Linked DNA regions of Styela clava. Each later gene encodes a partner of the first gene's protein in a complex. Links are inferred from orthologs where the notes say so. Each region holds a gene or a part of one and is shown in the gene's direction. Other genes may lie near its edges. The genes, in order: DNA polymerase epsilon catalytic subunit A-like and DNA polymerase epsilon subunit 4-like.

Evidence for each region.
Region 2: DNA polymerase epsilon catalytic subunit A-like (region 1) and DNA polymerase epsilon subunit 4-like share a complex: the UniProt entries of both Homo sapiens proteins name them as parts of the DNA polymerase epsilon complex. The link is inferred for Styela clava from reciprocal best matches to the Homo sapiens genes POLE and POLE4.

What each region holds. Positions count from the first base shown.
Region 1 is NC_135254.1:1,496,116-1,508,534, forward strand, and holds the start of DNA polymerase epsilon catalytic subunit A-like, read left to right. Parts: upstream 1-7,688; 5' UTR 7,689-7,870; coding exon 7,871-7,944; intron 7,945-9,057; coding exon 9,058-9,220; intron 9,221-10,453; coding exon 10,454-12,419. UniProt on the Homo sapiens protein: Catalytic component of the DNA polymerase epsilon complex. Participates in chromosomal DNA replication.
Region 2 is NC_135254.1:9,449,019-9,459,833, forward strand, and holds DNA polymerase epsilon subunit 4-like, read left to right. Parts: upstream 1-6,634; 5' UTR 6,635-7,049; coding exon 7,050-7,385; 3' UTR 7,386-8,073; downstream 8,074-10,815. Other genes in the region: spermatogenesis-associated protein 24-like, read left to right, coding at 8,075-8,326, 8,933-9,102, 9,963-10,215. UniProt on the Homo sapiens protein: Accessory component of the DNA polymerase epsilon complex. Participates in DNA repair and in chromosomal DNA replication.

The sequences.
Region 1 (12,419 bases):
CATCAGGAAAAATACAATTATCTTACCAAATTTTACAAAATTGTCAATAGTCGAATCAAAAAAAAAATCGCGGTATGCCACAAATTTTTTTCTTACGATAAGCATTTATATCAAAATAAAGCAAAATACCAAGCTACAGAAAAGGATACTCTTGTAGTATGTGTACCAGGTTAGGGTTAGGACAAAATTCTGTTCAGATTTTTCACATTATAGTTATATTATGAGTTCGGGGACTGTCTGTGTTAGCCAAGTGAATAATCTCTTTGCAAAACTTGATGGGCCGTGGTCCATAGCCTGATGGGCTGAGGCCCAATTCGATGGGCCGTAGAGGTGTCACCACTTCCACTCCCAAAACGTGCAGACGATCACCCGGAATTGAGCAAGTTATTCCTCTGGTTTTCTCGTGCAACGATCTCGATAGGAGAGAGACCGCTGGCGTTAGTGAGTTCGTTATCATCGACGCAGATGGCATTTTGGACTATCGTAAGTATACTTCTTTGGCAAGCTCTATGACGTGATTGTGACGTCGTAGTGACGTAATTTTTAGATGACATAATCCAAATTTGTTATGCTACACCCACCGGAAGTACTAGTGCTACTAAACTATACTAGACCCTAGTAAAGCACAATATCTAACTTGATTAATCAATCAATTTTATTTTGGTCGGTCTGACATAAAGCAAAACAACACCAAACGGACAAACAAAATGCAGAGGACATGGAGGACGAGCATAACTAAGAAGAAAGTTAAAAAAAATATAAGTACCCACCTGTTCACCAAAAACAGTCAAAGAACACAATAAAATAAACATACGCGACGGTCTTACTACTTACTGAATACAGCGCAAAACAGAGGGAAACTGCGCAAAGCAGAAAAAAATCTGCAATGAGTTGGGGCGTAAATATATACTACTACTAAATGTCCAACTCAGCTCGCCGTATAATAAACAAACAAAGGCGATGTTGCACCTCCAAGTGGCGGGCGTCACGGTTGGTGTTGTTCAGACTAGATGTTTAACGACGACGACGCTCCTGCATCACAGCTCGAAAACTAGCCCTGTTCATTGATGACTGATCGAAATATTTGCTGAAGGACAAAGAGATTCGATAAAAATGAACAAATAATTGTGAAAATGAAGACACAGTCTGTCTTGCAAATGACCAGGATGATGTGACAACTTCCTTGTCGAAAAAGCAAGGCATCAAAAATGCGATGCATTGCAAAAAATTCAGTCAGATGTAGGTAAAGTGGTGATGGAAATGAATACTTTGCACTTTATATAAAAAAAAGCTTAGTAGCACGGCATTTTGGTCTCACTCCATCTCAAGTATTGTAGCTTTCCCAGAAGTTTTTCCTCCACTTGACCTATAATTAGGGTTACCATATTTTTGTAACTTCAAATCGGGACGCCTCAAAAGACAACGACCCCTTAGCTGTGATTTTGTAACTTCACTTTTTCCGATTTTACCACATAGGCCTACATTTAAAGCTGTCCCGACTGTCTTTATTGACCATATTGTTATCGAAATTTCATGCGATCCCTGTCCAAATATCGGGTTCATATTCGAAAAATAGGAAGGAATTGACATACAAATAATTCGAATTTAGACTAATTAGTATTGGTTCTACATGCGATACCTCTGCCATCAATGGGAATCAGCGGGAAACGAACGCATTCACCTTCAGTAAGCAGGCTAGCGATGCGCTACACAGAAACAACAGTAACGAGAACATGTTTGTGTATTATGCAGAAAAAGCGGGACTTTTGGCTGACTCATCGGGACAGCGGGACAAAACGCTAAAAAGCGGGACTGTCCCGCCTAAAGCGGGACTTATGGTAAGCCTACCTATAATCAGGGCTGCCACAACGTTCTTATTTTTAGAATTTGTCCTTATTTTGAAGGTCTTTGTTTTAGGGCATGTTTTTGTCCTTATTTCTAAGAAACATCTTAATTTTGACGTGTGTCCTTATTTTTAACCTTATAAATGAATAAACCAGTAAATTAAACTTTGAATTTAGCTTAGATCTGGAACTTCATAAGAGATAAAATGAGTAAACGTAACAAATTTGCTGTGATGATTATGAGAAAGAATTCAACGGCGTCGAACGAAACGAAGGGCCAGTGATTTGCGCACTGCAGCTTTTGTGAATGTGACAACAATCTGGAATGCATAGGTAGAGCAGCAATTTCTGTTAATAATTCAACCCAGAAACACAAGGCTCTGCTCAAGAAATTAATCAAACCAAATTATAAACAAGAGAGCTATGCTCAAATATATGGACACGTAGCGCCACCCAATGGCAATAATTTTGATGACGTCATAGCGAAAAAAAAAGTAATAGCCTTCTGGAGAAAAATTTTATCTTCAACCACTGAAAATTTCAAAGCAATTGGTCCAGTATTCGAAGAGAAAAGCGACTTTTTAAAAACGTGTCAAAGAACAAGAACAACAACAAGGATAACAAGAACAAGAACAACAACAACATAATATTGAAACGATCGTTATGTCCACTACGTGTCCAATAACTTTTTTAAGAGTCAATGAGGGTCTTACTACTTACTGAATACAGCGCGAAACACCGCAAAGAGCGCAAAACAGCGCGAAACAGCGCAAAAGAGAGGAAAACAGCGCGAAACAGAAGGAACCAGCGCAAAACAGAGGGAAACAGCGCAAAACAGGAGACGCAGTCATTACCACCTCCTGCCACGAAAGAACCTCGCGCCTATTTACAAGGTTATGTACCGGATTATAGGTCATCATGCGAAATTTTATCTACCTTTTTGGTGCTCCAGAAGTATGTGCAGCAATATATCGCACAACCTGAATCCGCTACACACACACACACACATACTAATTTCAGGTTGTGCGCCATCTTGGTGCACATACTTCTGGAGGTCCCTTTTACCTAACCCTAACTCTAAAGCCAACCATATCCATATGGAAAATGTTCTAAATTATGGTACCCAAAATGTGTCACCAGCAGGGGCAGACCTGCCATTACAGCATTACTGGCTACATACGTTGGTTTGTGTTTTTAATTTGCTGCCATGGTACTCCAACTCAAAACAAGGTGCCCCGAACTCATTGCAAAATTTTTTTCTGCTTCACACTGTTTCCCTCTGTTTTGCGCTGTTTCCACACTGTTTTGCGCTGTTTCCCTCTGTTTTGCGCTCTTTGCGGTGTTTCGCGCTGTATTCAGTAAGTAGTAAGACCGAGTCAATGATTATACAAAGGCTATCTCAACACATGCAATCAGCTTAAATTTATTTCCATCATCACATCATTGAACATCCGACACTTGATATAAAAGAAAAATATTTTCAAATCATTCATGAGCGAATACCTATTAAACAATGTAACTGAATGTCAAGATGTAACAACACTACTTGAGAAAGTATTCAAAAGATCTGAGCAAATGTATACGCAAGTACTGCAGCCAAAATAATAACAACAAGATATCAAATAGGACACATGAAATACGAAACCAATTGAAGAAACACAGCAGCTAGAACGAAGATTAAGATATATGTGATTACAGTCAAGTTTCCGTACTCCTGAAATATGCGTACCAAGAAAGGAGGACACCGGAACGTAATATGTGTACCACGTTAGGGTTAGGCCAAAATGTCCTTATTTTAGTTCTATTACGAGTTCAGGGACTAACCAAGTGAGTTTCGTAGTATTTGTACCTAAAAGTATGGCCTAACCAGGTACACATACTATGTTCCGTTGTCCGTCATCTTGGTACACGTATTTCTGGAGTACCCAAGTTTTTTTCTCAATAATCCATAGGAATAAAAATTATTATTTTAATTACTAATGTGAATAAATACTGAATATCAAGTTATATTAATAGTGGTATTGATGCTTTTTAAGGCTTTGGTAGTGGTTCTTAGCTGGAGTAAAAACGCAATTTAGGTTCTATCACGTGGACATTGCTACATATTTCTTTTTCTTTGCTGCTTTTCAATCAACTGGAGCACCGATGGATTCCCTGCCCCGCGACCTGCAAAATATGCATCTTTTAAACTGAAAATCTGTTGTCGATTCATTCAATGTATAGGGTGAGGCATAGCTGAAGATTTTGAAGAGGGGGGGGTCGGGGTTTATAATAGTCCCGATGGTCTAACTCTAAGAGGTGTTTCACGCCACGAAAAATTTATATGTATGATATAGTATTTGAACAATTTGAAGACTACTATCTCACACTTAAAGGGGGGTCTGACAGATGTTTGGTCTAATATGGTATATCACATGTTGAAGGTACCAGCATTTGAAGCCCTTCATATGCTGGAGAAGCAATGAAATGTTGTTGATTTTTAAATATCACTACAGAATGTGTTGCATGTAGCCGTATAGCATTTATTTTGTTAAAAAATTCTTGAGCTAATCACCTGTTGTAGACTTTCAGTGTGAAAAAAAAATTTATGAAATTTTGGCTAATCTACTGCAGTCTTTTGTCTCCAAATTTAAATGCTCAATAGGAAATAGATCTAATAAGAAAATACAAATGAATTATTATCCAAAACAATTCTTTGTGCTATACCTGTGCTTAATATTTAACAGACATTTTTATCAAGCCATTGAGTTAAACATGTATAGATATGAATGTTGGTAGCAACGATACAATATTCAGTGCTTATTACAATTTTTTTTCCCTGTACTTTTCTCGTGAACTCATTGAGGTGGGAAATGATACTTTTACTTCACGTGCTTGCTATAATGCTGAATCTGTGATGTACTTATTTCTCGTCCCTATTATTCCATTTTTATCCCGGTTAATGCCCAATAAAAAAAAATGCTTTTTGCAAAAATCTTTCCATTGGACATGTCCGGCTCCAACCAATACATGACCTCTCAAAATCCTAAATTGCCCTTAATAATAACTTCCATAATACCATTGAATTGTCGACTCATTTCTTTATCTTATGTATATTTTATATATTTATATTTATTCTCGCTTGCATCCACCTACGGTACTATTTTATGCCATGATAGTCTTATATACAGCATATAAACAAGGGAGCCTAGATGACTTTAATCGGTCTTGCACACCGATCCGCACAAAGCAATAATTAATCACTGTCATTACAGCTGAAATTTTTTTCGTTATTGTATTATGTTTATAATAGTGTTGACATTGTTTTGTAGCAATGAATCTCTCTCACATGTTGGTCTGTTAGTTTACATGGCTGTTTCAAATGTTTTTTAGACATATCTTCATAAATTCCCTCTAGATGTGTTTCCATGCCAAAACCCCATCTGGTGACAGCAAATCATTCTTCAAAAATGAGTTTCGAGACGTCTGCAATTTTTTTTATTTTAGTTACGGTATTTTGAAATAAATTGCCCACAACAATTGAACCTTGTCTACCATCTAAACATGTATGTGTTTATATATATAAGTATAACAGCCACTTAGACAAGGTATTATTTGAAACAAAAATGCGAATACCCCACAAAACAAATTAAAATTAATCAATTATAACGGTTCCAGGAGAAATATTAATGCATTCAATGAACGTGATGGATTTTGCAGTCGCAAAAAAGTTATTGCTATTGATCACAAATCAATTCCTTAAAAATACTCGACAAACTAATTCAAAATTTTTTGGCACATCCAAAATTATAAATATATCTATGTTGAGGCCATGTTTAGATAATAGCAATAATAGTTATCCAATTTATGTGAAAAAAGTTATTAGTACCAGCCTGAAATCAAGCAATATGGATTATCATGGCAAACGTAAAATACCTCTTATGTTGTAATATGCAGCTGGTGACTTCGTATACAATGACAGAATGGAAAAAAGTTATCAAGATCGGTGGAACTCCATCATAAAACACTTATTAGTTGAAGTTAAAATATGTGTGTTTAATCTATGTTTTTCATACGGACGTCACAATTTCAGGGTGGTATCGCTCACCACATTTCTTTTTTTTGCTGACAGTTTTAGTTGCTCCACCAAAAATTTTCATTGATATAGTGTAAGCTAATTCTGATTTTTGAGATAAAGCATCACTCATCATTCAATTTATATTCTTGCTCACTGCTTTGATCACACAGCATAAATCCTCACACTGTAACTTTTTTTATAATCCTTTCCTTCCTGAAAATATACATATCTCATATCAAAATTTACTGACTTGACAAATCATTACTGTATTGGGTACCAATAAAAACATTTACAACTTACTCCTTTTATGCTGAACATTCGTAGCACAAAGCGGCTCTCTACTACATCTACTCATGGGAGCTTTAAAGTGAATTTAAAATCTTACCGTCAATGTGCTTTCGAGTGCTGGACCGGTCCTAACGCCTTCCCACTCAATTGATTGTTCTTCTATTTTATAATAAGTATAAGTATAAGTTTATTTCGACTCCATAATCAGCAATAGACGATAAAAAAATAGATAAAAACAAAAGTAAAAGTAACTGATTATAGAATCGGGAAAGCGAACAAAACCTAGAGTAAGGTTTGAAACGTACAGATTTTAGATGGAAAGGTATTGAAAAAAGAAGTAGTACGTGTTCGCTCCCAAAAGTAAAAAAAACTAATTAAGGCACGCACGCACACACACAATCATCGAGACATGATACTGTCGGAAGCGAAAAAAGCGAGACTTAAAAGTAAAAAGAAAGGAAAATATACGAACAAATAAAAAAAAAAAATGAATAAATTCTTTTGCCACACCAAATTAATAATTTTATGAGGATTGCCAAATTGGATACCGAATTAGTCAACAAGAGTAATGTATTGTGGATAGAAAAGTATTACTCAAAAGATATCGTCAAGCTGATTATAATTGGAGTCACCTAATGCCAAATTGCCCAATCAGAATTGCCAAGTTGGATGTATGAAGAGGTGGGCTAGACCTGCTTCACTCATCAAATAGAAGCCACAACAAGCCAAATAACGTCCAAATTATTGTAAATACTATTAATCAATAACAGTACCGGTAATCATAAAATTGTTGTCATTGTTTTGTTATCTGCATTCTATGAGTTCTATAGTCAAGTATATCGTGTAATATTCCATGTGCACAACTAACTTGAATATTTATAAGTCACTCACTTAATCTTGACGCGAGACAGCTCGTCAGAGCACAGAAAAACGCAGAACGTCGCACGATGGTTTTCGAAGCAATAATCTGTCAGCATTAAGTCGAGCGTGACGGCGAATTCAACATCGGGACCAAATTTCCGGAGGTACACGGGGTTGGTTTAACCGTAAATATATGGTTCAACTCTATATTTTCTTTCCCCTTTATATATCCCTCTTGCTGTTGAAACATACCGGTAGAAGGTAGCGATAGAATAATTCGAATAGAAAATAAATTCAGATTCGGTATGCATTTGGACGACTAATTAAAAATTAAACGCGGGTCAACCGGCAACACGGTTTGTGAGCACGGATGTGGAAATGCGCTCGTTTTCGCGGTGATGCTGGCAATATTTCCCAAATTTAGCTATGACTCAGTGGTAATTTGGTCTTCCGGGATTTTTAGTTTGCTTAAGACAATAAAAAAATGTTTTTGAAATTATAGATATGCCTCAATCTTTTTAATAAATTTCGTTAGGTCTATTTTGAAATTTAACATTTCTCGCTCCATTTTTCCAAATATTATTTTCCGTGTAGGAACAATAATCGTTTATATTTTTAGTCTTCTCCCGCTGTTCCTGGTTTCCCGCTTTTTTCGTAGCGGTTTTGGCTTTTCGTTTTATTAGTTAGGAAAGCCGCTAATGGTTATTATTTACCATTAATACAGTAATAGCTTGTTCTAAGAGTTAATACACGATAAGTGTATTATAGGATGTGAATTGGTAGTGAAAAATATAGGTTGAAATAGCTTTAACTGACCAAAATGCCGCTACAAAACACCGGAAAATTAGTGAAGGAGAAAGACTGGTCTAAAAACGAAGATGGTGCCGCAAAAAGGTTTGTTTCTTTCAATCATTCAAAGATTTCGAAGTATTTAGGGCCTAGCGAAGTAAACGTCATAACTCCTTGAAATAACACCAAACTGAAAATTTGATGTAAGCAATCAGAAATGTGATGTTAAATTTTGATGTTTTCAAAAAGTCTGTCTAGCATGGAATGAAATTATTGACAAGACGTTTTCAGTTTGAATAAAATCTACTCAATAAAGCTGGTATATTCATTCTATGCCAAACAGGGTGTAGCATTCCATTGCAGAAAACAATAAAAAAAACTTGAGGTTTGAGCAGCTCCAGCATTTATTTCAGTACAGCACACTATACAGATCGAGCGACATTGTCTCGTTTCAGAGAAACCCATTTTGCAGATGATCAGAGACCCCTTCTTCGGGGGACGTCTGGACACTCATAATCCGTAAAAATACAGTAAAATGAAGTTGTGCACAAACTACAAAGAATCGCAATCTGAAAACGTCATCAATTCCTCCGGTAAAAAATAATCCGATTTACCAAAGTAAAAAATTTTCTACCGTGGCATTTGAGAGTTTGGAGCAAAAAGCGGCAGATTTGGTCACGTTACGTCTGCGATTAATTTAGATTATCATTGAGGCAAGCATGGCGCAATATGACTCATCTGCCATCGTAGCAGACGCCCCTCGTTTGTGAGACACATGAAGTTTTTGTTTTATTGACAGGGCATTCGGATAGTGTGCCATATTGTATTTTCACATCATATTTTTGTTTAGCGTCATTTAAGCACTTGCAATGTGTACTTCGTTAGACTCGGTATTAAAACAATGAAACAAGCACACTACTCATCTCTGGAATGGGGGCATTTGGCCCGATTCAGATTTGTAGGATAATGTAAATCAATCCTCCTAGTTCATAACGCTATATATATTACAAAAAATTTAAAATTTGTTTGATTTGAGTAATTACTGCGCCAGTAGATATTTCTTAGTCGAAATAAACAAAACAATACCAAGTTTGCAAGAAACGGTCAAGAAATAACGGCGATATTGGCATTTCAGTACCGCCCGCCTGAGAGGCCAATTTCTCTACATGAGGTTAGCAATTCGCTGACTTTGCGTGTGACTTTTGCTTCTATTCCCAGACTGGAACAAGCGAAATTATCTGAAGAGATGGACGAGAGATATGGCTATAAGAAATTATCTCTTCCGTGTGAGAAGCTGGGATGGCTGATAAACATGTGTGAAGCAGATATCTTGGATGAAGATAAGAAAATGATCAGTGCAGTGGATTTCTATTTCTTACAGGTAAGATATATATTATGAACCAGTGGTTTCTAAGTTGTTGGGGAGCAGAAGGGGAGTTTTTTTTTGCTTCAATGAAAGTAGTGCCCTTAATAATAGGATGCAATTTGCTATTTCAAGTGGTGTTTTTGTGTTTATAAATTGCATGTTATTAATAGCGAAATAATGTTAAAAAAATTCCAGAGTTGGTTTTTGTTCGCCTCTCTTCGTTTGATGTCTCATTTCAAACAACCCCTAATCGCTGACTGTTTAAATAAAAGCTAAGTCACCTTACTTGTTAATATCAGCCAGAGCACTTGTGCAGTTATTTTGTTCAAGATACCAACGCACTCTTCATTTTAACACTGGCCTGTGATATGTTTTTCACTTCCATATTTTTGGAGCCCAGACCACTGGATAATCAAAATTTTAAATCTTTTATCATACTCAAAGATTAAACTAATTGAGTGCTTTAATTCAAAAGGGCGAAACTTACTAAAGTTTTTTTGAGAAAATGAGGAAAATGTACATTTTGGCTTTTAAACAACTTTTTACTAAAATTCTTTTGTGAATATCACTTCTCAAAAATGACCAACTAGCTCAAAATGAAGCTTTTTTTTGTGTTGTTTTCATTCAAAATATTTCCAAAATTTTAATATTTTATATTTTATCTCAACCCTTATTGTAGCAGTATATTATAAGCTTTTTTTGTGCAGGTGACATACCTTTAAAGCAGGAGTGTGCAACATTTTTTGTCGGGGGCCATATAACCAACTTCTGACATCTAGCCGGGCCATTCAAAAAATTCAATATCTTTCGGGTACATAATGAATTAAAAATTTCTCACCACAAAAAGGCTATATCGCTCAGTCTTCAGTAATAAAGGCAAAAAGACGAAAGACTCAAATTTATGGATTTTAACCCCTGTGTGCGCTTTTTTAAACATGAACTGTCAGGTTAGAATTTGATGCTTAGTGGGAAAATATCTGAGTGTTGACAAGGGCCCCACTTATTGTCTTGGCGGGCCGGGTTGTGGCCCGCGGGCCGCCTGTTGCACACCCCTGCTTTAAAGCATATTAATTTGAATTGTAATGATTTTCATAAAATTAATACCTCAATGTATAATTGGTTCCGTGTATGCATAATGTATAATTTTTCATTGTCGGTTGAGGCTTCAGGGGTGGGGGCGGTGTAATGAGTGAATACACTCCTATTTGGCCTCTTCTTGTATTGAATCTCTCAAATTTTATTTAACAGGATGACGGTGAACGATTCAAAGTCTCTGTTCCTTTCAAGCCATATTTTTACGTTTTGACAAAACGTGGGACAGAAAAAGAAGTCATTTCATTTCTGCAGCGAAAATTCCCGAAAATTTTTTCCATCGAAATTAAGAAAAAAGAAGATTTGGATCTACAGAATCATTTAGTTGGATTAAAGCAGACGTATTTAAAATTATCATTCATGCACGTCGACGATTTATCAAGCGTGAGGCAAATTATCCAACGGGCGGTGAACCGTAACAAACAGCGTGAAAAAGGACATTCTGCGTATGTTGAAATGCTTACTAGCACCCTCGCTGGAGAAAAAGTCTCCGAAACTTCAAGTGATAGATCTAAAACGCTGGTTGACCAGTTGGATAACTTACTTGACATACGCGAACACGATGTTACTTACTACGTTCGAGTTTCAATCGATTTGAAAATCCATGTTGGTCTGTGGTACTCCGTTCAATTTAAAGGAAGCGCTATTCCACCCGTGATAACCAAACGAAACGATTTATTAGAGCGGCCAGACCCGGTTGTATTAGCTTATGATATCGAAACGACGAAATTGCCGTTAAAATTCCCTGATCCTGATACTGACTGTATTATGATGATTTCTTATATGATAGACGGACAAGGATATTTGATCTGTAACCGAGAAATAATATCTGCCGACGTAGAGGACTTTGAATTCACACCCAAACCAGAATACGAGGGGAAATTCGAAGTTTTTAATGAACCTGACGAGATTTCAACGTTGCATCGTTTTTTCGATCATATTTTAGACGTTAAGCCACATTTATTTGTGACATATAATGGGGATTTCTTTGACTGGCCATTCGTGGAAGCGCGGGCTCTAAAGCACGGAATTGAAATGATAAAAGAGATTGGATTCAGTAAAGACTCTCAAGGGGAGTATAAATGCCGCCAAGCGTCACACATGGACGCTTTTAAATGGGTAAAAAGAGACAGTTATTTACCGATGGGATCACAAAGCCTGAAAGCGGCAGCAAAAGCGAAACTTCGTTACGACCCAGTAGAATTAGACCCAGAAGATATGTGTCGCTTAGCGAGCGAAGAACCACAAACAATGGCTAATTATTCAGTGTCGGACGCAGTTGCAACATACTACCTTTACATGAAATATGTTCATCCCTTCATATTCGCGCTTTGTACTATTATCCCTATGGATCCGGACTCTGTGCTGCGAAAAGGCTCTGGAACTTTATGTGAAGCTCTTCTCATGGTTCAGGCATTTGATGTGAATATTATATTCCCAAACAGACAAGAGTCAACGTTGAACAAACAGACAAACGACGGACACGTGTTGGACTCGGAAACGTATGTTGGGGGTCATGTCGAAGCTATTGAAAGTGGGGTCTTTCGAGCTGATATCCCTTGTCGCTTTTTAGGCGACCCAGGGGGGTATAATTTTCTACATGGGGAGGTTGAAAAAACTATAAAATTTTGCATCGAAGTCGAAGAAAATATCCCGTTATCCGAAGTTACGAATTATGAAGAAGTTTGTCGGGATATTAAATCAAAATTATTTGATTTGCGGGACAATCCCGCTAGAATTGAGAACCCGATCATTTACCATCTCGACGTTGGAGCTATGTATCCGAATATCATTCTAACGAATCGTTTACAGCCTTCAGCGATGGTTGACGATGAAACCTGTGCGGCTTGTGATTTCAACAAACCTGGTGCGACGTGCCAACGTTCCATGCCATGGATGTGGCGTGGGGAATACATGCCCGCCACTAGGAGTGAATTTCATCGCATTCAACAACAATTAGAAACTGAAAAATTTCCGTCATTTTTTCCCGGTGGAAAACCTCGAGCTTTCCATGAATTAAATAAAATTGAGAGAGCAGAACAAGAGAAAAAACGTCTTCAGGAATACTGTCGAATCGCTTACAAGAAAACGAAAATCAGCCGAATTGAAGAGCGCTACACTA
Region 2 (10,815 bases), about 8.0 Mb from region 1:
TTTTTGCACGTGCACGGAATTGTGAATCTGGTAAATACATTCATCGACGGCGAGTTTCAGAAGACAACGCAACTTTTTGATTGAAAAGCGGCTATTTAAAATACTGAAAATAAAACCTGTAAACAATATAAGTTTTATTGAGTCCCGCGAAAATTTAAAAAACGCTTTTCTAGGCAGTGAAAATCGCAGAATTTTGTGTGCCTCTGGCACACCTTATGTTTGGTTGGCGTTTAGAAACATATCGTCACGAACTGAGGGCGGGATATACCTGATTATCCATTACTTCAAATTGCCGTCGAATATTTTGAAAGTATATTCAATCAGTTTTATTTTGATGAAATAAATTTCCCTCTAAGATGTTACAGAGGATATATAGACTTTTTTTCGGGCAATTTACCACACGTTTTTTTTTATGACCGCGGATTGCAATGGTATATGAGGATTTTATTTTGTCGACGCAACCGCAGGTTAAATTGAAAACAATTAAATTAATAAAGAAAGACATTTTAAATATGCCCGTATCGGTCACGAATTCATCACTTTGCACAACAGAAAAATATATATTCGTTGTTATATTATTTGTTGTAAAAGTCGACTCTTTTAACAGGTGGCATAATCGCGGCGAAGAATATGTATTTTTAATTTACTGCTAAACTTGTATATTCATTGTATGAAATGAATTATGCTCTACACTTAACAGGATTTTATATCATTATTTGAGATTTTTCTAACGGCGATAACGAGTTGGCAAGATTGCAAAAATACGTATTAAAATTAAATACATCAGGCAGTTTATCTCGTACGTTTAGGTCACAGATCGCCGTGGACCGAATAGCATGTTCTTTTTTTGACGTAAGTAGAAGAAACCGCGAGTTACGTTGGACACATTAAATTATTATATAAAGATATTTTAAAATCTCGTAGTTGTCATGGATTGAATATTTTACGTAACAGAATGATCACTATACGCTGAAAAGACGGCTCTTTTAGCGAGCGCGAAATCGCGGTGGGTGTTACAGGCGGCAATGGGAATTTCCGATTTCGAAAATCCTGGCTGCGCGGCTGGCAGTGGTGGTCATCTATCCTCTACTAATTTTTTTTCTAATTTCAAACACAACAATTTGTTACACATAATAACAATATGGTTCACATAAATTAATATACAAATATACTGGTAGGTAGTAGAATACTCTGTGCTTAAATATTAGAATTTTTAAAGGCATAATGGATTTTCTATTGTTGTTGCTTGTTTCAGTTGCCTGTATTGCCAATAAAGTTTATTACTCTCAGAAAATAAACACAATTATCTGAATACAAGTAGTATTTTTGTCAATAGACTTGACTATTATCGTAATATCATGGTATTGGTACCAATGGTAGAAAGCGTCAGACAACTCTTTGGCTATCATTTCGTATGGTCATTTGTACAAAGTGAATAATTATAATAAACTGACTGTGTCACAAGTTGCTATTATTTTTTATTGATTTATTGATAGCTATAAACTATCAATTACATTGTGTACATATATTGTTGGTTTGTGGCTTTATTCTGATATTTTTATTGAAGCTTATTTCCCTAATTTACTGGGTTTTAGTAAACTAAGCAAAAATGTGTTATTTTCGATTTTAGAATGTATTCGGAATTCCAGATTCGAAAACATTATTTTAGAATGTATTCGGATTAGTTTAGTATTCGGAAATGGCCATCCCTGAATACAATCCATTGTCCATGTCGTGTCCCAAAATTAACGAAAACGAGCTTCTTCTGACTAAAATAGATCAAACGCGAAGAATTTTCTCAGTCAATGAATAATTCGATTTGCTAATAATTTGAATTATTCAACCCCTTCGATCTACAATCAATTTTTTTGCAACTAAACTTAATGTAGCAGTTTATGAAAAAAATTTATAAAAAAAAAATGAAAATATATATACTAAGAAGTCTAGTCTTATGCGTAGAAATAAATTGCAGTTGTGCATTAGTAATTGGCGTTCCAGAAATATGGCGCACAACCTGATAAACCTAACCTGGTGCACATACTATGTTCAGGTTGTGCGCCATCTTGGTACACATACTTCGGGAGCATCTATTAATTTATGTTGAATTCTGACTACACAAATTCTGCTCTTGATAAAAAAAAAGGATTGACATTGAGGTTGTAATCTTGAACATTTCGGCGGAAAGCTCAAATCTTGATAAATCTCTCTTTTTTTCCTCTAAGTATATATGCTTCTGTTAAGAAAAACACAAATATATATCATAAATTCCATAATTGAGTATTTCTGATACTTGCCTACTTTTAATTGCTGAGTAATAAACTAGGTCAGGTCTTGATTTTCGGAAGATTCACTGTTAAGCGTACTTTAATGACTGGCGATTTTATCATGAAATGACAAGTATAAACAACTTCGCTGTATTTTTGGGCGGCAACGTTTCTGCTAATCGAACGATTATATGAGATTATTCAAGTATTAAAAGAATGCGGCCGCAGGCAATGATAATGTTAAAATCCTTTCATATATCAGCGTGTTAAAAAAGTAACACAAAATTTAATCCTAAAAAGTTGAGAAAAACGCAAATTATTTTGTCATTGCAACAAATCACGTCACAGATATCGATTCCAACTAAACTCTTAACATAGGAATCTATAGCATCCTATTTGACGTTCAGTACACTCAGTTTTAAAATCTTCTCTTTCACGCCTGGTTACTATAGTTACCATACGCTTTCACTTTGCAAGCATGATTTCATTTTCACCTCATGCTTCCACAGTCTGTTGCTGATGTTTATTCCATGCCCTCAATAGAGATAATCCAGACAGACGGAAGCAGAGTTGTGAAATTTTTGAAAAAATGTGCAGAGCACATCCGTCGCGAATCGACAAGATCATCTAGTCAACTTCAAACTCGGGTTGATTACAACCTTCAATTTACTTGGAGTGAAGATTCCACTTTTTACACACAACGAAAGATATCTACTTGTTTCCATACCAGATAAATATATTAAATCACCAAAGTACACGCTAACGATCGCAAAATTTAGTTTTATTTGAAGGCAGTCATGTTTTTCTTTTAAGGCGCCGTGAGTTGTTTTCCTTCTAATTTGGCGCCGCACGAACAAAAAGTTTGGAAACCGCTTCACTAATATATTGCAATACGCATATCAATTATAAAAGAAAGAGAGTAAATTGTATAAGAATAATTATTTATTATTAGTGTTAAAAACATAATAATATAATACAGATTTATTATAATGTTTTTACACATTAGTGTTCTGTAACCGGAACTCCAGAATCCAAATCACATACATGCGGGTAACACACCAATGGTCGATATTAAGAATTTTCTACAGCATTTTATGATATAGGATTTCATATTTAGGTGTTATATTGTTTCAATGAAAACGAAACTGTTGATTATGATGATTCACGAAGTCACGAGGATAGTCGATGCTGTGAACACGTGAGAAGGTAAAATAGGAATGAAATATAAAATGGCGATTTCGATACCCGGACGTTTAGAGATTCTCCTATTTCTGATTCTACTTCAGAATTTTGAAAATCCTTTGAGAAGCACATTGTAAATTAAGGTCTGGTTTCAGCTTGATTCTAATCCCACTCTGGCAACCAGATTGTCTGAGTTGTCAAAACGTGCGCGTCAAGTTCTTCTATCGTAAATTGTTTTTAATACAACGACAATTTAACGCACAATTTACCAGTAGTTGTTAAAAAATATAGAAAATGATACTGCAAATTTGATGCCAATTTAAACAAATGTTTGAACAAGCTAATCTTACCGTAATGGCAGCGCTTTATAATATGTTGTATATATATACAATTACATTGTCAACAATGTTTAAGGTCAAGCGGTCATATTTTGTAATTAAGTTAAGTTCTTGAATTCGAAACTTAGTATTTTATGTTCCGGGCGGATTGGGGATTAAGTGTTTGGGCAAAACATTTTTTCGAAACACTTCTACTTTGAAAATTGAATTTAATTGAAGGTTAGATACGTGTACAGTCATACGATAAATTTGTTTCAATAAATTCGGAAACAAGATTTCAGTATGGAAATTTATAATCAAGTAAAGTAATTGAAACTTATAGCATTGTTCTCCCCATTGAATAATATTTGATATATTGCATGTACAGTACGATCTTTGTTTTGGTAACGATCCCTACTCTATAGAAGCTATTCAATGGTCCGGCAACTTTAGCGCGAAAGCACAGTCCAAGTAAGAAATCGTTGCGCGATGATCGATAAATCTAAAGTCTCTGTCAAGTGCCAATTTTATGATGTGATTCGTAATGTAACGATGATTACTACGGGAATGATTCCAGTAGCAAAGATGGCGATTGCTATACTTCCCTTCACAATTCGAAACACCTCACAATTTATATCCCGGTTGTATCGATGAGTGATATTCATTCATCCGTGTTTATTCGATTTTGGGGTAAAAGCAAACAATGGTAGTAATTTGGAATGTCTGGATCTTGATGGCGTTTCTTCTGCTACAAATAGAAACTCAGGCTGCTATAGCCTACTCATATTATTTTTAATCCCAATGTTTATATATAAAAGAGGTTTGGAACATGCTTCACTACTATCTCTTCCAAAGAAAACTATACCTTTGTTGAACAGATCATTGTCGCTGTTCTATGGATGTAGCATCGGACATCAGTACATTCTTGATGTTTTTTATTGTTAGGCAAATAACGATGTATAACTTGAATATTTTAGTCAATAAAAGTTCTGTTCACTTATGCTCTTAGTATTAACAAGACAATTTCATGCCATAGAGTCAGTTGTGGGATTCAGCCGGTTCGCATCGGTTCTATAGAACCGTCTCACGGAATTTTATGAGATCAGCGAACCGGTTAGCATTACTGCTTATTGTCAATGTTCTGTTTGTAACAGAACCGGCTGAATTATATGACTTTTGTGAAGGAACTGACTGACAAAAAATTTGAATCCCACCACTGCATAGAGTGTGCCATGTGGGAGTAAACGGTTACTGGAGCGATTTGATAACAGGAATTGAGCGTATTAGGTAAAAGATGAACCGGACACGAGTAAGAAGTACACAACACCAAACCTCCAGTTATTCCTATCCTGCTAATCTGTGCGTTAGTTGCCTGGCATCACCTTCTCAAAAATCTCCCGACTTTCGCGGAGCACGAGTTCGTATCTTCGTAAAATAAAAATCGAGAACAGCCATGGCGTAGTCTGTCAAGCTGGCGGAATATAAAAACGTGTTCTCGTGAATAAAATGGAACAGCCAAACTTTGGATAAGATATCTAATTTTATAGGATTTATAGAACAAGAGAGCTGTGCTCAAATATATGGAAACGTCACAAGGTGTCGCTATTATTTATTCTGACACATAAAAACGAATCTCTTGAAGTCCAAGTCCACAGAAATTTTTGAAATAAGTAAAAGTAATAGCCTTCTGGCAAAAAATCAATCTTTAACTACTGAAAATTTCAAAGCAATTGGTCCAGTATTTGAAGAGAAAAGCGATTTCATCATGGCGAAAGAGAATAATAACAACGACAACAACAACATAATATTGAAACGATCGTTATGTACTCTGACGTGTCCAAAAATCAGGAATGAATAAAGGTAATAGGCTTCTAACAATCTTCAACCACTGTAAATTTTAAAGCGATAGGTTCAGTAATTGAGGAGAAAGGCGATTTTTTCCATAACAAGAGAAGAAGAATTCTAACAACACAATACCAAAACGATCCACAGATTTATTTCGTGTCTAACAAGAAGAAGGAATACCAACTACAAAATATCAGATCGTATCCGAAAAAAAGGCATAGTGGGGTCGAAGGTCGGCGTAGATGTTCGCGGTGCTGTATAGATTTTCAAATTTACGTTTTTTAGACTGTTCAGCTTTTGGGTGTCAGGGGGATGGATATATTTGATACAAATGTCTACAAATGATACAAAAAAAAAAAAAAAGTCTATACAAGTGTATGTAATTATTAGATAAATAATAATTGGAAAAACTTTTTTTACATCCTTCATCTTAAAAATATTTGTAATCTTATACGGTAAATGATGATTATGAAAAAAGGGAATTATGGAAAAAATGAACGGTGATGAATTCTTCCTTGGAACAACCATGAAAAACATATTTAACATATTAATAATGTACTGTTGGTAATTTTTTTGATATTATTCTATTTGTTATTTTTTAATATATATTATAGCCTATATTCTGTATATTTGATCAAACGCGGAAATTGCTGTTCGATTATTTGAGTTGCATGTTGCATGGGTGAACAGGCACATGCATTTCTGCTGTTTTAAACCTTACTAAAGGTTTTGCCTGTTGTCCCGTCCCGATTTTCCCCATTGTTCTGTGTGTTCATCCTTATGTTTTGTGTGTTTGTTGTTTGTTTCGTGAATTTTTTTTTCAGGGAAGATCGAAATAAACTTATTATATTATTATAAAAGTTCAGTTTATGTCAAAATAAATTTGAATTTAATAGCACTAGGTTTATATCAAAATCGTCTGAGAAAAAACAAAATATATCAATAAGTGAGTTAGGCTAGTCTACTGGTACAATGTCACAATATAACAGTACGAGTACCGGTAGGCTATTTAGGTGTTATGGCATCACTGCATTAAGCTCCGCACAATCTGTCAACATACAGATTTAATTGAGTTGATATTTTTCATAGAGAAGTGACAAGTTCGTTCATAAAAATTGCTTTAAAGTCTTTATGCTGGTATGATGCAATTGCTGAATTGAATGGTCACTATGGAATTGATTCGGTATCTATGCAACTAGTGACAGAGTGAATTATGTACCGATATATTGAGAAGTGTATTTTTGACTGGTTTATTCGTCATGTATTCATGGAATTTTTATTCAGCCTATCCATATATGGTTTGTATGAATACTTTACTGCCTTATACTTTACACATCAATAGTATTATAATATAAAATTGATGAGTTTTTCCAGTTTCAATTTCATACCGTATAGTCTGATAGTCTAGGTATAATTACTATCTGTACTGTAGTTACAAAAGATGAGTGAGGAAACTGTTGAAGTCAACGAATCCAATGATGACATTGAGAACACAAATGATCACACAGATCAAGACGGAGAAAAAAGTGAAAAACTTTGCAGACTTCCTATTGCTCGTATAAAAACTTTGATAAAAGCAGATCAAGATGTTAACATTGCTAGTCAAGAATCTGTTTTCTTAATAGCCAAAGCAACCGAACTTTTTATCGAACAATTATCGAGAGATGTTTATAGAGTAACACAAGGAAATAAAAGAAAAACAATTCAGAAGAAAGATTTGGATATGGTGCTGGAAATTAATGACGAACTGGCATTTTTAGAGGGAACATTGGACTGATATGATTTTAGCAATCATATTGGAATGCAATACTTTATTTTGTACTCTAATAAGAAGTGTTCCTCATTTGGATTTTGCCTAAACTGCTCAATATGTCATGAAAGTGTGGAATATGTGATAGGCACATTACATATCTGGTTTTACTGTGTATTTACTGATATAAGCTTGCATTTGTCATCCTTGCTTATAATTTGGGAAAATTAACTTGGAAATTGTACTACTGCATCTAATTAGACATCCCAAACATTCTAGTTTTTCCTTGAGCTTTTGTTCATTAGATATTTTTTTGATTTGGTATTTCTTGTATCTATTTGAAGAAAGTTTAAAGTTACTTCTGTTAAAGCAAAATTGAATTTTTTTGCACAACATAATTGTTATACCATTTATTAGTAAGATTATCTTAGTTGTGCATATAATGTATTAGCACCACTTGAACGAAACGAATCTAGTATGTCTAAGGTTGAGTTATTTTTTTATATTCTACCTATTTTGTAATATGTTATATATTGTGACACTATCACTCTGAACATCAAAAACCTGAGATGGTGAGGTTTTACATTGAGACATGAGAGATCTCGTAGTATCAAAATATGCAGGGTCAATGGATATGATTCTGGCTACTGCACAAAATGAACTGCCATTTACACTTTTTTCTCTTTATTTCTATGGTTATATCATGATCTATTAGTATGGATGAATTATCAGATCATACATTAAAATTTTCCGGGAATATAAATACTACTCTTTCATCATCATTCTCATCTTCAATTGGCAAGACTGAATTAACAGATTCATCGACAGCAAGTTGTTCATCGACTCATGATCTAGTAAGAGCGACATTGCAAGATGTGATTGGACTTCAACACAATGCAATAGAACAAATGTTAGAAACAAAAGAGAGACATAAACTTAACTATGTTATGAAAACAACTTATGACGAGGTAAAATTAGTGCGAGTAGCATCAAATAGTAGATTACCTAAATACCACCAAAATTCAGGTCCCAATCACTAATTATTTATTTTTAATATTCAGTTATTTTTTTTATTTATCGTAGTCTTAATTTGTTCATTTTAACTTGTTTTGTGTTTGGAAAAATTTGAGAAGATTTGAATGTTTTAAGCTTTTATTGTGGGAAAACCTGATTTGGCCCAGACCCACCCAGACTCTGCGTCCAGTGGCCCCTAGGTAAATTAGTTCGAGGCCCCTGATGTACAGTGTAAAATGCATTAGGATATCCTAATATTTCATGATTTTTTTCTGATCCTTCTTGATGGCAAGCATGTAAGCACATAATTAATTTAATTGCTATAAAAAAGAATGCGTTTTTCAAACTCCTCCACATGGTTATTATGAAGCCCAGTCCTTCGAATTTTATCGTAAGCATGCCATCACATTGAAACGATTCAAGTAGTACCGTATATGTAATTATGTGGCATTGATTAAAATTTTGGCAATGTGTATGACTTGTTAGTTCCAGCTAATGTTTGATTTCAAAGTTTTCTTTAGTTATGAAGTCTTTCGTACACAGTTTTTCTAAACTTACAGGCTATCAAGCAATTTGAGGATGAACAACTTGAACATCGGAAAACAAAGTTACTACTGGAGAAAGAGCAAGAAAAGTTGAGGTTTGCATTAGGAGAAATTGAAATACTTACAAAACATCTTGAGAGAGAAAAATCAGATCATGAGAATTTAATCAAATCTGTCAAACAAAAGTGAGTTGTTGATATTATATGCATGTCATTGAGTGAATGTCTGGGTTAATACTTTTAGCTAGGGCTGGGCATATCGAATTGAATATTTCTATTGGATATTGATAGGGAAATTATGCGAATCGATTCAGAAAAAAATTTTGAATCACCGACATCTTGTTTTTTTTTGCCGTCAAAGGTTGAAAAAAATTTTTCAAAATTTTTGTTGAAACCATATTTAAAATTCACTTCTGACATACAACTGTTTTCTTTCTAATGAGATGTTGATGAAACAGATTTCTTTTATGTGAAACCACTCTGTGATCTGACTGTGTGATGAATTCTATGTTTTCAGTAATTTATGTGTCTGGAGGATCCATCACAATAAAAAAACACACATACATTTGTATATTTTTTAAGATTTGGTTTGAAAAAATATCCAATTTGATTCCAAAATTTTGAGGTATTTGGAAATGCCCATCCCTAGCCATAGCTTGATTTGGCTAAAACTCGGATATACGCTTTATAAATGAGAGTATGTTTAATATATTTGATTTACATTAAAAGGTGGTATTCAATATTTACAACACTTTCATTAATTAGATTTATGCTTGATTGTTTTTATTTCAAAATTTGCACATGATTCAAATTTTTACTCTTTTTTGTGAAACCATACTTATATCTGTTGTTATAAAAATGGAGCTTAATGTCATATGGCCACAATAGCCAATATTTATTGCCCTTCAATGTTTGAATATTTATTCTGGAAGGTGCTTTGAACTCTTGTGGTAATGGACAATTCATTGCACTTGTTTTTGAACTTCTTATGTAATTAGCTATTTGTTTGTGGGGATTTAAGCATTGAAATATATTTTTGCTGGCAGAGCCAACAGAGAAACTCAAAGAAGTGATCTTTTATACGACAAATGTACGAAAAATGAAGAAATCATTCAAAGGCAAAAAGATGATATAACATTGAAAGAAAATGAGATTTCAAATTTGAAACAGAGATTGAAGTCACAGTCAGCTTCACATAAACAGTTTATTCATGACATGGAAATTCAGAAAGTACAAGAAGAATATATGGCTCGTTCACTCAGTGAAAAGGATAAAAGGAAAAGGCGGGGTGTACCTTGACAAACTTCTGTTTTTGGGTGAAAGACTCGGTCTGATGTTTAAAAATTGAGCTGTTTGGCATGAATGATTTTGTTCCAATTAATATTGAAATCATCATTACAAAGTAGTTGATATTATAAATGAATCAATTCATGCTGGAAATCATAGATATTGACACTCAACATACGTGACTTGATGGCGTTTGTGCAGATGATTATGTGTCAAGTTACAGCTAGCCTAACATATTTAATTTTCCTTCAGTTTTGGTCATACTCTATTATTTTTAAGTTTTCCTAACCCCTAATCCTAATCGACGAAATTTACAGACTTCAGTTGGAACACACAACAATATTCTCACAAGTAGAACATTATCATTCGGAATTCTCCACATTTTGTGAAAAAATGGTGTATCATGTAGGAATTGTAGATTTGTTTTCTTATACTTTATTTCTTCATATCAACAGAATTATATATGTTGGAAAGTTAACTAAATAAAATTACTGTAGAATAATTTACAATTATTGTTGTATATATACTTAATATATCAAGAGTAATAAATTCTATATTTCTTATAAATCTGTGTTGTGTTTCCTGTTAGTAAGTCGACAATAAAATGGGGTT